Linked DNA regions of Astyanax mexicanus. The protein of the gene in region 2 interacts with the protein of the main gene of each other region in a pairwise test. Links are inferred from orthologs where the notes say so. Each region holds a gene or a part of one and is shown on either strand. Other genes may lie near its edges. The genes, in order: atxn10 and ppp1r12a.

Region 1 (7,879 bases), about 13 Mb from region 2:
CACAAGTTCAGTTTCACAGAAAGATGAAGCCTATTCTAAGACTTTATTTGCTTTTAAATGAAAATCTATAATTAAAATGCTGTGTAGTTCAAGACTAGGCTTAATCCCTGAGAAACTGCACCATTATGTGCAAAGAAAGACCACACTTGAGATCATTTAAGCCTACCACTGCACTGGCTGTGTGTTACACATGAACCTAATTTTGGCTGATTTTGATGTGATTTAGTACTTAATAGTACCAGTTTAATTAAAATCTCAATATTTTGTTTTGCATCACTGAATTAATATTTAAAACACGGAAATGACTGAAATGATTACTTACATTTAAAAACTGGTGACATTTTTTCCCTGCACTGTTTACACCACGATCGCTAGATAGCAGTGTTGTACTCTGTCCCACTGTCTAAATCCCACTGTTATAACTGCATAAAATTAGACTTTTCCTTTATTCAGATTTTGAAAATAAACTGTACAGTTTAAACAATTGCAACAACTGCATTTAAACAATTGCAATATCACATTGATTACAGTACTGCATTATATTGAATTGTAAGCCCAGTATCATAATAGTATTATATTGCCAAGTTCATGCCAATATGCAGTCCTACCATAAAGGTCCGATAAATCATTCCTAAAGGATTTTTGGAGTCCAAGATGGATTTTGATTGGCCTCTCTAACAAAACTATGAACAGTTTGTTTGGAAGGTTATCTTGGACCAGATCTCAGTTCGACCTCCATAATTTCTGTTAACTGCAATTTCTTTATTACATTTATGATCTGAGGAACTGACTAACTAAAAAGCTTTCCTATCCTCTTTAAGCCTTCTCCAGCTTTGTATGCATCAATTATTTAAATTCCTACACAGATGAGCCTATGGCTGCCGATTGTTGTAACAAGGTTTAAGGATAAAATGAGCAAAGATGCATTGGATATTTAGTCAGAAACATGCCTACACAGCATTTTGAATATAGATATAATCTGAAACCCACCCAGTGTGAATTTACTTTCTGCCACACTTTTTTGTACCTGTTACCTCATTTTTTTTAGAAAAAAAAAAAAAAAAACATGCACACTTGACATTGGACTGGACATGTTCCCTCAAATAAATTTACCGCCCTTGATCTAAACTCTGTGTGGTTCTTCACATTGACCAGAATTTGGCCCCTTTGATTTAAGCTTTAGGTAAAGAGACTTACCATCAAAAAGGTAATCTGAGACTCCAGAAGCAAGCTTGAGAAGCTTTCTCAAAATCTCTAATGATACCTGGATACAGCCTTGATCTCTACAGAAAAAGAGAAAAATATAGTAACTACATTGGACTGTATTGTTTTGAGATTGTAAATGACAATGTTTTTACCACAAAATGTGAACTGTACTCTTCAGAGAGTTAACCATCCAAACCAAACCATTTCCACACAAATGGTATAGGCACACTGTATGATAACAGGTTTTGCAGGCACAATATTACAATACTAACAATTTTATACAGACATAGTACCCAGCACCACCAGTAAGCTACCTTAAAAAACACTGGTTGCGGGAACACTGCACACAGGCATTTCGTTGAGCTCTGAAACATTCGGCCGTAAGCTGAAGACACAGCAAAGCGGACTGCTGTTCATCATTCACGTCACTTAAAACCTGAATCTCCTCTGAGAGCCTGGACAGCACTGCAGACAGTCTCTCAAGGACATCCACCTCGACATTGAATCTGTGAACACAAAACATTGGTTACGATTAGATTAGTAATCAGCCAGCAGCACAAGTCAGGATGGAGCAACAGATGAAGTGTTTGTGTGTTTAATATAATCTATGAGTAGCAATCTCTGTAATAGCAGACAACAAGGTACTCTGTACATGCAGGACTTTTTGAGAAAATAATAAGCAAAGCTTCTGGACATACATATTATGTGAACAAATAAAAAATAGTATTATAATGTTATATGCACCAATGTGTTAGCTTTCCTGAAGCTCATAATTACAAAAAGGCTGTGGCCAGACTATTTAAGTGAAAAATAACAAAAATTTTCATTATATTGTTTTAATACAGTTTGTTAAAAGGTAAAATGTAAGGCAAAAACATGTTACATTTGTTCCAAAAGTTATATTGGTGTGTCCAGTCTCTCTGTTAATTGTAAATGTGGATATCAGCACTGGTATACAGTATAAACACATGTAAATTAACTGAACTTTTTCCTATAACTTACAATGTCACATTAATTACATTATCAATGTATTGTACAATAAGTGTCCTCAATAATAATTGAAAATGCTTATAAAATCTATTTTTATATATGTTTCTATGTTTATTTGTGTGTTTGTTGACATATGTAAAAGTGAACAGTATCAAAGTCAGTCTAATGACAAATATTTCCATAAATGTGACTCCCTACACACAGAGTGGACTGTAGTAGATGGAGAAAAGAGTATATATTTCCCAAACTATGATTAATTACAAATTAAGTTGTCTTTTTAAAGGGTTTTATTGCTTTTTAATGCTATTATATTATCATTATGTTAGTGGCATTTATTGGTCTTAAAATGACAATTTCTGGAACGGCATATTATATTTTATATTAAAAAAATGATTGTGACACACCTAAACGTAGACCTAAACTCTAGCTAAATTATAATTTATTTCTTGTGTATCAATCATTTGAGTAGAAAACCTAGCTACTTACAAACTTGTTAGGTAACCAACTCTCTAATTGAGGTTAACTTTAATTAAATAACTTTTTTTTAATCTTTAGCAAAACGAAGTTATAAACTACTAAACTATATTACGGTTTATTAATGACCAAATATTACTTATTTTCATTGTAATTAGGTTTTAATACAGTTTGTTGTGAGAGTGTGTGGAGTAGCCTGTCACAGCCTCAGCAGCAGCTAGTTAATGTTAGCTAACCGCTAGCAGCACCGCGGTACTGCGTGTTCGCTCTGCCCGAACCTGAGCTCTTCATCTCGGAAATTGTTGGTCGCGGCCTGCAGGACAGCGAGGAGCTGCAGATTTAACCTGTCTGCAAGTAAATCCTCCAGGTTCACAGACTTCAGGCTCCACATGCTTTCTGTCACACAGCCACAGGGACTGCGAGCCGCTACAACAACCCCAGCAGCAACACAGAGAGAGAGAAAATCCACATATCAAAATAAAAGTCCACTAAAATAAGTTATTAACTGTATGTGGACCGTTTCCCCGAACTGACACATGAGATACATGTTAAAAAGTAAACGTTTTTTATGAAATCTTTATCCACACCTAAGACTACACAGGCTACACAGGTCTCATAAAGCAATTTTTCCTACTGTATAATTGTACATTTTTTAGAAATTGTTTACTTTCACAGTCACTGAAAAATCATTAATATAGATAATTAACGTATACTAATAATCAACTTAATTGAGTTTTGCACATCTATATGTTTCTGTTGTGAGCAGAGTAAATAGCTTACGATTGTTTTTTGTTCTTATTTTCTCAGTCATATTTGAAATTATTTAGATGATTTAAAAATAACAAATGTTAAAAATGAATTATTAAATGCTGCAACTGTTGGGACATTAGTGTTAAAGTTGATTATATTAATTCATTTCATATTAATTAGTTTTGTTTCCACACCTCACAGATATTAAATTCTACAAGGTCTTCACTACTAGATGAATTTAAAATGAAGTGTGAATTAAGTGTTGGGATAACAATTATGCCATGCTCAAAATTATTTATATATTTTTTTTATTTAAATATAAAAAATATATGAGTAATTAAATGTAGTTAAATTAATTAAGTTGAATTTACTACAACTGTACAAGTAGTTCTGCTGTTACATCAGTATTACTCCATGACATCACATTCTCAGCCTACTACTTTAAGGACGACATCACCACCACCACCATTAGAAACCAGGCCATCTGACATTCATTCATCTGAATCAACTGTTCCCAAGGCTTTGAGATCAATGGCTTCATTTTTTCCCCAAACAAGTTGCGGAGACAAGTGTTCCAGCTGCAACAACAAAGGCCAGTGTTCTCTTTTGAATTTTCATGAGTGCTGGACTATTTTTGATCCCTGGCTCCCTGGTCTGTGGTCCATCTCATGTTTTCTCTGGTCTAGGAAATGCAGCAGAGGAAGTTGGTTGAGGCTGAAGAATATAATTACAGGTGGCTGCGTATCAGGCAGCTATCCTCTGGCTAGGGTGGGCCCACAGCTAATACACAGATGGTGTACTGTAGCAACCAAGCCCTAAGATAGACTCACTAATCATTTGAGAAGGAGGCAAACTGAAAGCATCTACTTAATGGCTTATGCACAAGCTGAAAATATTCTGCTCTTGGGCAGAGGGAAGGAATGTGTAGTAAATCGATGATTACTGGAAGAAATAAGTTTGTAAACACTAAGGGACCAAAGTCTGAAGGAGAAAATCCATCCTAATAAGTATTACCCCAAATCAGAAAAGGCTGGGACAGCCATTGGAAATTACATAACGTCAGGCCTGGGACAGTAAAGCAAGAGTGCTGAAGTGTGGGACTGTCACTATCATGTTTTTTAATTTTTAAATTCTGCAGTCAGAACGGCAGACAGGCCAATAATGGTATCAATAATGGTTCTTCCAGTCATGACTTTGTTATGTGTGCAGCATGTAGTTGCCATGGTCTTGTGAAAACATACATGGACATCTCTGGAAGATGTATTTTTCTACATTAGTGCAGCATCATAGATGTGTACTGACACACCCCCATATCATGACAGATACTGGACTTTGGACTTAATGTTACTTTTACCAGTCTGGAGCACACAGCATGCATTTCTTCCAAAAAATACCTGGAACACTGATTCATCTGTCACCAATAGACATTTCCACTGTATGATAGTGGTCAGTTGTTGTATTGCATTTGTTAATTGCACAAAATAATCTGATCTATCTGACCCACAGATGTGTTTGAATGACAATCAAATTGAATCAGTGAGGTCAGAGACTTACACCCTGAAGGCCCATTAGCTCAGTCATCTGCCATGTGATGTAATTACACATCAACTCAAACAGTGAGACAAAAGCTGCAAAGGTCATCTTACTCTAACAATGTTCTGCAGGCCCCGAGACACACAGAGCAGCTGATAGGTGTTACTCTCTTAAGAGCCAAACACTCTTATTTGACATGGGGGATCTCTGCCTCCTTTCTAGAAAAATCACATCTGGCTTTTGTCTCCGTTGTTCCCAGCATTCTCCAACCTAAACTCTCCCTAATCACTCTTGCATCTGACCCCGATTCACTGGGGGGAAACTGGAGTGTGACTGGGTGCCAGAGGATTTTTCTAAGAAGCCCTATTGTAGCAAAGGAGCGATTGCTAAGGAACAAATATCCCAGTGTTTATATTCCCTGTCAGCGCTCCTTTTCTTAGAGGAACACTTGTGACATTTGAGCTCACACGTCGCCAAATTGCAATCAGACTGCCACTAGAAATGTCTGTCTCTTCAACAAACTCTCCATTTGCCTTACAAATGGTATTAGGTGGAGAGAAGCACCCAGTTAATGTGACGTGTTTTCAACCAGGGAGATCTATTCAGGGCTGTCTACATAGTAACACACAACAAAAGTATTCCTAAATTTACTGGCCAAAATCTCTGGAACTTTAATAGCTGAGTGAGAAGTTAACAGATTTGCCTGTGTTTTACTGTTTTCCCAGAGGTCCACTTACAACAGATTTATGCAACAACAGCAGTAAGAATTCATGTATACTACAAAACCATTAACACAAACACTCTGTAACCGCTAGAACTAAACAGGCAATTTAAAATACTGTGCCTTTAACAATGAGTGTATTTACATGCACTCAAAAATGATTACTGCATTTATCTGATGATTGGTCATGTAAACAACATACTATGATTTTTAAAAATCAGAAAAAGGTCTAAAAAGTTAAAAAATCTGATTATATCTGTATAATATTTAGTCTGTGCCTGAGTTAAAACAGACTGAAAACATGCAGACTGAAAAATTGCAAACCCAAAGCCCAAAACACTAAAAAACACTGAAAGATTTAAATAATCTTCATCTTCTAGCTGTTGTTTGTTAATTTTACTGCTTAATATGTTAGAAATGTTGTAACACTTTACAAAAAGGGTCAAACAGTACTTAAAACAGTAATAACCATCGTTAAATGGTTTAGTAATGCCTCAACAAATTATTGTTATAACATTATTAAACATTTTTATTTTGATGATTAATAATGTTGTAAATAATAATGATTTACAGCAAAACTTGCTTAAAGAAATACTTTTGCAAGTAAACCTTTCTGCTTTCTTACATAATTCCAGACACATTTGGTGTCCAAAATATGTTTCTCTAGTTTAGTGCTGGAGCCATGATGCTAATATTAACCAAACACTTAAACAGTCATTAACATTTTGCCAGGCTTCTCTTAACCCACTAAAACCACATTCAGTTGTTCAATAAGGAACACTGGGTACTGCCATTTTGGAAAGTGCTACATAGTAATATTTTCTTTATTTGGCTGTCCTCAATGCTCCTTTATAAAGACCTGGACACAGTTTGAGGGAAGCATGCACAAAATATGGGTGACTGTTGGATTTTAGTGTTTGTTAATTACTGGTGAGCTATTATATGTTCATACTTATAGTTTACAGTTAATCATGCTGTCAGCTAAACTAGACTGACAAGTCTGTGTGATCCAGGCATGGTTTGTGAGAGTTAACAGAATAGGTTGTTAGCTACAGTAGCCTTGTAGCTCCAGTGGAAAAGCTTTATCAAAAATATATTAATCATATATCAGCATATGTAATTGAACATATTGTGTGGAAATTATTAATCCACTTGGCCTTATATAGATATAAGCTGAATAATCAGGATGCATTAAGTGATCAGAGTGTATGTGAAACTATGACCTATTCACTAAATGTGCACTACCCCTGGGATTTTCTGTTGTGGTATCCAAAAACGCATAATTTTTAGTGCAATAAAACAATCCTATAATTTTACAAATAATGCACCCCATCAGCTCCAAGATACCAATATACCTTTAAATGTATTGTTTTAAAGATCCATGTGCAGCCTTGTTTAGGAAGACCAACATTTAGACTGTTTGTGAGATGCAATCACACATTATGACGTTTACTAAAATAGTAAAAATCTTATTACAGCACACGGGTCAGATGTAAAGAATACTGGATGTAAATGGGCTCTTTATAACTCCACTATTGTAAATACATATTACACTATTATTTCACCCACATAAACAGCTGTACACATGCATTTGTTCACAAGCTAAAGGATACAGAAGTGAAAAAAAAAACTGACAATGAAGCATAATATAATTTAATATAGAATTTGACACAAATACGTCTCAACATAGTTTTAGGTTATATAGGCCAATTTTCCCAAAAATTGTCAGTGCACCCTCCGGTGTGACTTATGTTATATGATCTTTACCAGTCAGGTTGTAAGAAGCAGTAAAGCCACTTCGCTGGAGTACAGCTTTGTACTGGAGTTTCAGTTACGTTTTCCAGCATCAGGACTGGAGCAGTATTAGCATTAGCTGCTAAGCACGCTAAACGCTAGCTCTTTCGTGGTTCAGAGGTGAGTATATCGGACTGTAGTCTGCGTGTTTACCGTGTCAAAACAAGCTATGTGGTAGAAACCTCTAGTTAATGTCGCCCTGGCTTACCAGAACACTCAGGGTTTCTCATTGTAGCGCTGTCGATCGGCATTTACTAGCGGTTTGCCGCTAATGCTAATGCTGCTACACCCAGCCTTAGTGGAAATCTAAGCCTTCTGTAAATAAACCTAAACCATTTAACTTACTCACCCAATAAACCGTTTCAGGAGAGAAGTCTGTGTAGAACATCCAGTGCTCGTTTGACTTTTTTG
Region 2 (7,739 bases):
AAGTATTTACAACTTCCCAGCACTGTTTCTGATACTATTTCAAGACTGACAAGTCTGCAGCACTGCCATTTTTAACCAGACTGAAACACACCCTGGATTTAAAGCACAGTGTTGCTCATATCTCAAAACATACAAGCAACACAAAATCTGACCATCCTTATATAAATAATTCATACTAAAATTACCTATCTGCATATTATCTAAATGCAATCATAAGTCGAAGTGAAAAAAATCTATGAAATCTACATTTAATACAGCTTCAGAGTACAAATAAGATATCAGCAATTCCTAAGGCATGATTTAACTTCCATTATCTTGTTATTCCATACAATAAACCATTAGTACAAATTGGAGCATAATTTGAGTTTTTTTTCCACGCCAAAACCAAGCTGCATTACAGTTAACTAGCTAGCTATATGTTGGAGGGATTTGTATCAGTTAGCTTGCCAACGTAGCTAGCAACCCTGCTAGGCTAGCGCTAGATTTAAAACAGCACAAAACAGACATTTGCCCCAAATTATATCGACATTTGAAGACTTAAAATAGTACTTTAGTATGTTATACAACGAATTCATTCATTGTGGTAATTAAAATCGGTTCAATTCACTAGGTTTGGGTCATTTTCGGGGTCTGTTTTGCCTAGCAGGGTGCGCTAACGCTAGCCACCTCTGACGCTAATGAAGCGAACAGTAAAGCTAGGACAAGTCTGAGGTGAACGCCAGAGCAGAACTGAAAAAACAAGAGTTTTTAATCATTTCTGAGAGTGCTCTTGGTCCGATTGGAATAAGAACTATGATCAGGAACGTTTTCACACTTTGATTATCTCAGGTTAATTACCCCATCTGATAAACCAAAGAAAAATCTGATACATGCTAACTGTAAACTAGTTAAATGCAAGCTTACAACGCAAAGACAGCTAATGTTAATACTAGCTAATCTCACATTACTCCAGATCACAACAACACCTTTATAGAAAAAAATAAACGAATTCGTTTGTTGTAAACCGAATTAATTCATTAGAAGCGTGCAAATAAGTACAATGAGCTAGTTTTTAGTCATTGTGTCGTTCTGTTTCGCCTTGCAGGGAGTGCTAGCTAACTAATGAAGCAAAGGGTAAAGCTAAGGCCAGGGCACACTGCAAAAACAAGGATTTTAGGCAATGCTGCAGTTTTCTGGATGTGAATGTGAATATTATAAACTCTGGATTAACTCATTTGCTTTATTAGAGAGAGGAGCTGATATATAAAGTATAAATTAACTAACCTACAAACTTTTATCTAACTAACCTACAAGGTTTTATGTGGAGGACAGAGCAAACTGCAAACATAAGAATGTTTAGGTTTCATGAAACTGTTTTGGGGCTTATTGTGATAACTGATCATATACATTTGCACTAATTTGATTATTTCTATTAATGGGGTGATAAATATCACCGATTATAATCTTCAATGTAAACACCCTGTCAAAGAATGTTTAGACATTTCAGGAGTTTAAAGCCATCTAAGAGGAGTCCACAATTCTAATATTGTTGGTAATTCTGTATTATTGGTGATTAGTTGGTGTAACAGAGAAAAGAGCTCTGACAAATATTAGTTGGAAGTTTATTAGCTAGATAAGGTTCAATGTTTAAACAATGATTTTAGGCATTTGGAGTGTGTTTTGGATCTGGCTAATGAGTATTATAATCACACATCATTCACACATCTGGGTTGACAGTGGTTTATTTTGTTTATCTGGTTGATCAGAAAAAACAATACATTCAAGGTTTAATTTAACTAACCTGCTAAATACGATTTTTAGGCATTCTGAAAGTCTTATTTTGTTAGACTTATGAATAAGTTTATAATCCAAAGCCGAGCATCTCGACTGACTCTGGTTTATTTGGTTTATCAGAGAAAGTAAGTTAGCTGATAAATGTGAGCTACGAGTTAACTCAAGGCTGAGACCAAAGCAATGTTAACTGTGATGTGCTTTAGCTAATCAAGTAAGACAATTTTGACAATCGAGAACTAGGATTCAGATTCAGAATATTTCTGGTGTAACTGGTTTATAAAACAAATAACTGATACATAGTTATATAGATAACTAATATAATGCAAAGTTAACTAGATAACTAACGCTAGGTAAATTGTCAAAAGCTTCAAGGCAAGCTTGAGTTTTAGCTAACGCTAGCTAGGTTAGTTAGCTCTGGTCTTAACGTAGTGTAAAAGCACAGGTATTAGAAAGTATTTCATCGGATTTTGGGGTCTGTACAAAAGCATTCAGAATGAGTTTAAGGTTGGTGTTAACGTAAAAAAATATTTAGAAAAGGGAAAGGAGCTGATAAAAGTTGTACTTAGACATTATGGAAGTGTTGTGGCTGCAGATATGATTATTTAAAGCGATCTCACATCTGGATAAACTCTGGTTTTTAAGTTTATTTGTTTTGGGTTTTTTTTTCTCAGAAGAATTTGCTAATAAATGTACAATGATAGTTTATAAGGTCAATGTTAACTGTCCAAGCTTCAACGTTGAGACAAGAGCAAACTACAACAGCAAGTATTTTTTGGCAAGTTGGTTGACTCACCTAAGCTAGCTAGTAAAGCTAGCTCTTATGTAGTGGACCTTGCTAAGGCTGACTATTATGATTATTTAACTCAATGAGTCAGATTTAATTCTACTTAGGTATATATTAATCAGATAAAATAACTGATCTAGCTAACGTTAGTTCAACTAAATTGTCGCAAGCTTCAGTTTTAGCTCGTTAACGTTAGCTAGGTTAGCGTTACGTTAGTTTGCTCTGGCCTTAACGTAGTGTAAAAACACCGGGTTTTAGAGCAGAAATCCGAATTAAAAAGTGCTCCGGCAGATTCTGGGGTGTGTAAAAAGCATTCAGAAGGCCTCTGGCGCTAATGTTAAAGCTATAGAAAACAGAAAACCCGCAGTAGAGAGGAGGAAGGAGGCTGGGACCTGGTGCAGGGCGGTCAGGCCGTCCACATTGGCGTAGTTGATGTCCGCGCCGCGGTCGAGCAGCCGCAGCACCTCCTCGGTGTCCCCGCTGGAGCAGGCCGCCAGGAACACCGCGCCGTCGTCGAACTTCACCTTAGTCTTCTTCTTCTTCAGAACCGGCGGCTCCAGGTCGGTTTCCGAGCCTAGCCAGCGCTTCAGCTGCTCATTCCGCTTCTGCTTAGCGTCGGCCATCTTCATCACAACACAGCACTAACCCCCCCCGGAGCCGGTGCGCTCTCCCTCCGTGTGAGTCTCAATCCTCCAGTCCTCAGCCCGCGGGTTAACCGTGCGTGTGTGTGTGTGTGTGTGAGAGACTCTCTCTCTCTCTCTCTCTCTCTCTCTCTCTCTCTCTCTCTCTCAGTCTGTCTGTGTGTGTCTCTCGCTCTCTCAGTAAGTCTGTGTGTATGTGTGTCTCTCTCTCTCTCTCTCTCTCTCTCTCAGTAAATCTGTCTGTGTGTGTGTCTCTCTCTTTCTCACACACTCACTCACTCACTTAGACTCTCGCTTAAAGTCTCTTACTCAGTAAGTCTCTATTTTTTCTCACTGTATCTCTCTCTCATTTCTCAGTGTATTTCCCCAATATTTATTTCTCCAATATTTCTCACTGTATGTGTCTGTCTCTCTCTTATACATACACAGAATCTCTCTCTCTCTCTCTCTCTCTCTCTCTCTCTCTCTCTCTCTCTCTCTCTCTCTCTCTCTCTCTCTCTCTCTCTCTCTCTCTCTCAGCCACGATCCCACAGCGCAGCGGGGCGTGGGAGAGGAGGGGGGGGTGTTGAGGGCGAGGGTGGAGCAAAGAGCCACATCTCGCGATATTTGGCTCCAGATAGCTAAGCTCGGAGGCGGCCGAGATCGCGCTTACGTCACAAGACCCGCCCCGCCCCATCCGTCTCCCTTCTCTCTTTTCTCCCACACGCGGAGCTGCAGCGTGACGTCACCGCCTGCTTCACTTGACACTATCAGGAAAAACAGGACAATTATTAAACAAAGTCAAAGAGGCTTCCTAAAAGCTTATTCACCACATTTACCTTGTTAAATCAAGATTTAAGTATATAAATATTAACTGTACACTTTGTGATTTACAACTGGAATCACCTTTCTTTAAATTAATATTTTGGTTCTGTGACCACACATGATGAAGACTGTGGCTAAATATTTATAGGATTTTAATCAACTTCTAATCTAATTATTTTCTTGGCATATGGGTGTAATGTATGAAAGTTTAGACTCCTATTCTGTGTTTTTTTAATGTGGAATTTAATTTAATTTCTTTGTCTTTCTTTTGTAATTAGAAAACTCTTTAAACTTAAAACCTGTGCCCTATTTTTGGAATCTTTGTGTGATTTGTAATTTTTGTTGTTTTTATTTTGCGATGTCTTTTTATCTCCCCTGGCTATGTTTTTGTGGTGTTACTTGTATATTTGTTCTTGAATTTATGACAGAGTAGTGTGTTGAAGAAAATAAAAAGGAAACACATGTCAACTTCTCACCTGACTATATATAATTTGGAATGTTAAAAACATATAAAAAAAAACAAATCTTGGTCTTATCACTATTGCTTGGGTCAATGCTGTGATTCTTTTGGCAAGACAAGAGCTTGACACAAATGGACAATCCTAAAATGTATAATGTCATTTTTTTAAAGAATTTTTGTTCAACAGACTTAATTTGATTATTTTGATTTCACCCGGGTCAGCAGCCGGAATCTGAGAGAGTACAGTAGGTCATGCCCCCAATGGGTGGGTACAATAGGTGATATCAGAGGAGGCATGCGCTCTTCCCTAAACTTCTAATGTTGGGGGCATTACTAATGATAGGGAGAGTCCTAATGAGTGGTAATTTGACTTTCAAATTGGAGAGAAAATAAAATAAAAAAGAAGGAAGAAGGGAAAACCGTTTTGAAAAAAATGTATTGATGTAAAATTTATTTTATATTTATTTCTAAACATATATAAATATATAACATATATATAAACATATATAAATACTAGAATACTAGTTATGTCTGGGGTATTTTTAAGTAGGATCTTCTGGGAACTGTTTTAAATCTGTTGCTCTGATCCACAGGTGGGTGGTCCGGCTGCATGGTCCAGGTGAAGTGTGTATTTTGGATTGGTAGCATGGTGCTGGTGTTGGCGCCAGATTTTGGCTCAGGTTTTATGTCCACACTACACTCTGTTGGTCTAGAAATGCCAAAGGTTATGAAATAAGAACTAGTATTGTGTTTTTGAATTTTGCCCTGTCCCACTGAAGCTAAAGAACACTGCACTGACCTGCAGGATGTATGGGCATGGTCTCCTGCATTAAATGTCAGTTTGTACACTGCTGTCCAATGACTTTTTGCATGTCAGGGTATTTTCATTTCTGTGTGTTAGAAACTGGCGTGTACACTAGTAGTAATAAATTACTATCAGTAGTAGAGTACTAGTTTTCTACAGTGTTCAGTTCTGCTTGAAACTATAGGGTTAAATTAATTGAAAATAGTCCTATCAGGATCTCTCAGTGGTATCTGCCAGGTGTGGGAATCACAGGGAATCTCACGATAAGATATTATAACAATGTGCTGCCCACAAAAATAATATCACCATACTGTTATTCTGTGATACTTGTGAGATATTTTAAGTCAATTTTCTACGAAATTTCACAGCATCTGTGTTACTGATAAGGTTAAAATACTCCTACAAGAGAAAATACCAAGAATTATGGATTTTTTTGTGTCGGTTTTACAGAGTTTCTTCACTGCAGATTTGCCATTTTATTAGCATCATCACCATGTAATGAAGTAATAATGAGGCAGTAACTTTAGTAAGTATAGTTAGGGGCGCGTCTTACAGAGTTCAGAGCAGCTATGTTTCCATACAAATATCCATATTTGACACCACGTATCAATGTATTGCAAACAAAATGAAGCTATACATTTTTGTCTAACCCCTAGTATCTGGGCAGATTCATCTTAAACAGCTCTGCCATTTGTCAGGACTTATCTGGTAGAACTAAAGACTATCAGATTAACCACCAACAAGGTTCTAGATAGGCTCTAAAGGTGAGTGGTAGAAAAACAGTTATATTTCAGTCTGTCTGGATGTTCTATCTAATTTCAAACTCTATTATCTTCTCCTTTTTTAGATGGAGGATTTTATTTCTTCTGAACTTTCCTTGAAGTCCATCCATCAGTCTGGATCGGCCTCCAGCTCACCCAGAGAGAGTAAACTTACAGTAATGGGTTTCAGCAAACTCAGCACATGAATCAGCACTTGGCTAAGCTTATGGTTTCTGTGTGTGTGTGGGGGGGGGGTGTATCAGTATGAAGTGTGGAAAATCTTAGTGGTTCAAAAGCTTAAATGTGTTTTGTTATTTTACACTCTGTAATAGTTATACATATATATTAGAGTAAAATGATAAGTTAATTAAAACTGTACTGTAATTGAAAGGAGGCTCTAGTACCCTGTTGAACCTCTAGCTTGGATACAAGATGAGATACAGTTGAGCATGGAGGCATGCAACAGTGTACAGGTTCAGTATGGCATCCTACAGCACATTTACCCATGTTACAGATGTTGCAGCTGGACCGGTAGATCATGCTCTACACTCCAGGTTTGATCAATCTAAAGACTGGGCAGGATAAGGAAGTGCTGAAATCTGGTGGAGACATTCCTGGGAAATCCTTGTTGTATGTGGGTGAGCATTATCCTGCTGAAAAATGCAAATTGGAAGTTCTGACATGATATCAAACACATGTGGCCGCAGGATGTTCTGCACATATTGCTGAGCTGTTACTGCCCCTTGCATCGGTACTAGGGGTGACCTACTTTCGTATGTGATGCTCCTTTATATCATCACACCAGCAGTCTGGAAAGTATGTCGCTCCACAGAAGGCAAAGGCAGGATTAAAGTACTCACAGCAAGGCCTCCATACATGATTCATCATGAAATCAAAAACTATTGTAAAAACTATTTTTGTGAGGTTCCAATATTCCTGAGGTGTCAACCCAGATAGCATTATTCAGAGCTTGACGGATGTTTCTTCGCATTGGTTGAGACGTGGTACTGGCCATGCAGAATTAGGCAGAATATCATTTCGCAGCTAAAGAGTTGGCAAAAGCTTCTTGATACGGTTGCCATGTTAGTCTCGGCCACCGGGGTGTTGGCACATGTAGCCTAGATGTGAGCAGATGATTTGCACCAGAATCAAACCTAAATTCAAACCATAGTCGGGCCAAATCAACTTTTGTGGTTGTGTGATATAAGAACCACAAATGCCAATACCTCTTGCTGCAGAACAACAAATACATGGGGTGGTACTGGATCTTATCCAACAAAAGTCCAAGGGGTAAAATTAGGGTTAGGACAAGGGTCCGATCTGAGTTGAATCAGATCCAGCCCACCCTCTGGACTTGTGGTTCTGCAGCAACGAACATGTCAAAAAATGGCCCAAGTGATCTTTGCAATATGCGAAATCTACAATCAGTATAAAGGTAGCACTATAGAGCTGATGAGACATGTTGGCATACATAAAAATGCAGCATTGGACCAGTAGACCTGTGAAGTTTTAGGAGCTATCGAACATTGCAAGCCTATCAAAACCCTGCATGAATGTTTTAAAGTTACATATTCCAGCAAAAATAGATAACTTTCTGTTGGGCGTAGTCAGATATAACCAAGTGACCCTTGTATAGTAAGATGAGACCAGCATGATCCCAACCACTCTGTTTGGGGGCCCTATCAAATTCCTGACCTACATACAAGCTTTC

The links.
Region 1: the proteins of ppp1r12a (region 2) and atxn10 interact in binary tests that used the Homo sapiens proteins (3 or more experiments, as listed by UniProt). The link is inferred for Astyanax mexicanus from reciprocal best matches to the Homo sapiens genes PPP1R12A and ATXN10.

What each region holds. Positions count from the first base shown.
Region 1 is NC_064409.1:12,214,029-12,221,907, reverse strand, and holds the start of atxn10 (ataxin-10), read right to left. Parts: upstream 3,121-7,879; 5' UTR 3,062-3,120; coding exon 2,949-3,061; intron 1,713-2,948; coding exon 1,521-1,712; intron 1,284-1,520; coding exon 1,198-1,283; intron 1-1,197. UniProt on the Homo sapiens protein: May play a role in the regulation of cytokinesis. May play a role in signaling by stimulating protein glycosylation. Induces neuritogenesis by activating the Ras-MAP kinase pathway and is necessary for the survival of cerebellar neurons.
Region 2 is NC_064409.1:25,004,396-25,012,134, reverse strand, and holds the start of ppp1r12a (protein phosphatase 1 regulatory subunit 12A), read right to left. Parts: upstream 3,620-7,739; 5' UTR 3,187-3,619; coding exon 2,950-3,186; intron 1-2,949. UniProt on the Homo sapiens protein: Key regulator of protein phosphatase 1C (PPP1C). Mediates binding to myosin. As part of the PPP1C complex, involved in dephosphorylation of PLK1. Capable of inhibiting HIF1AN-dependent suppression of HIF1A activity.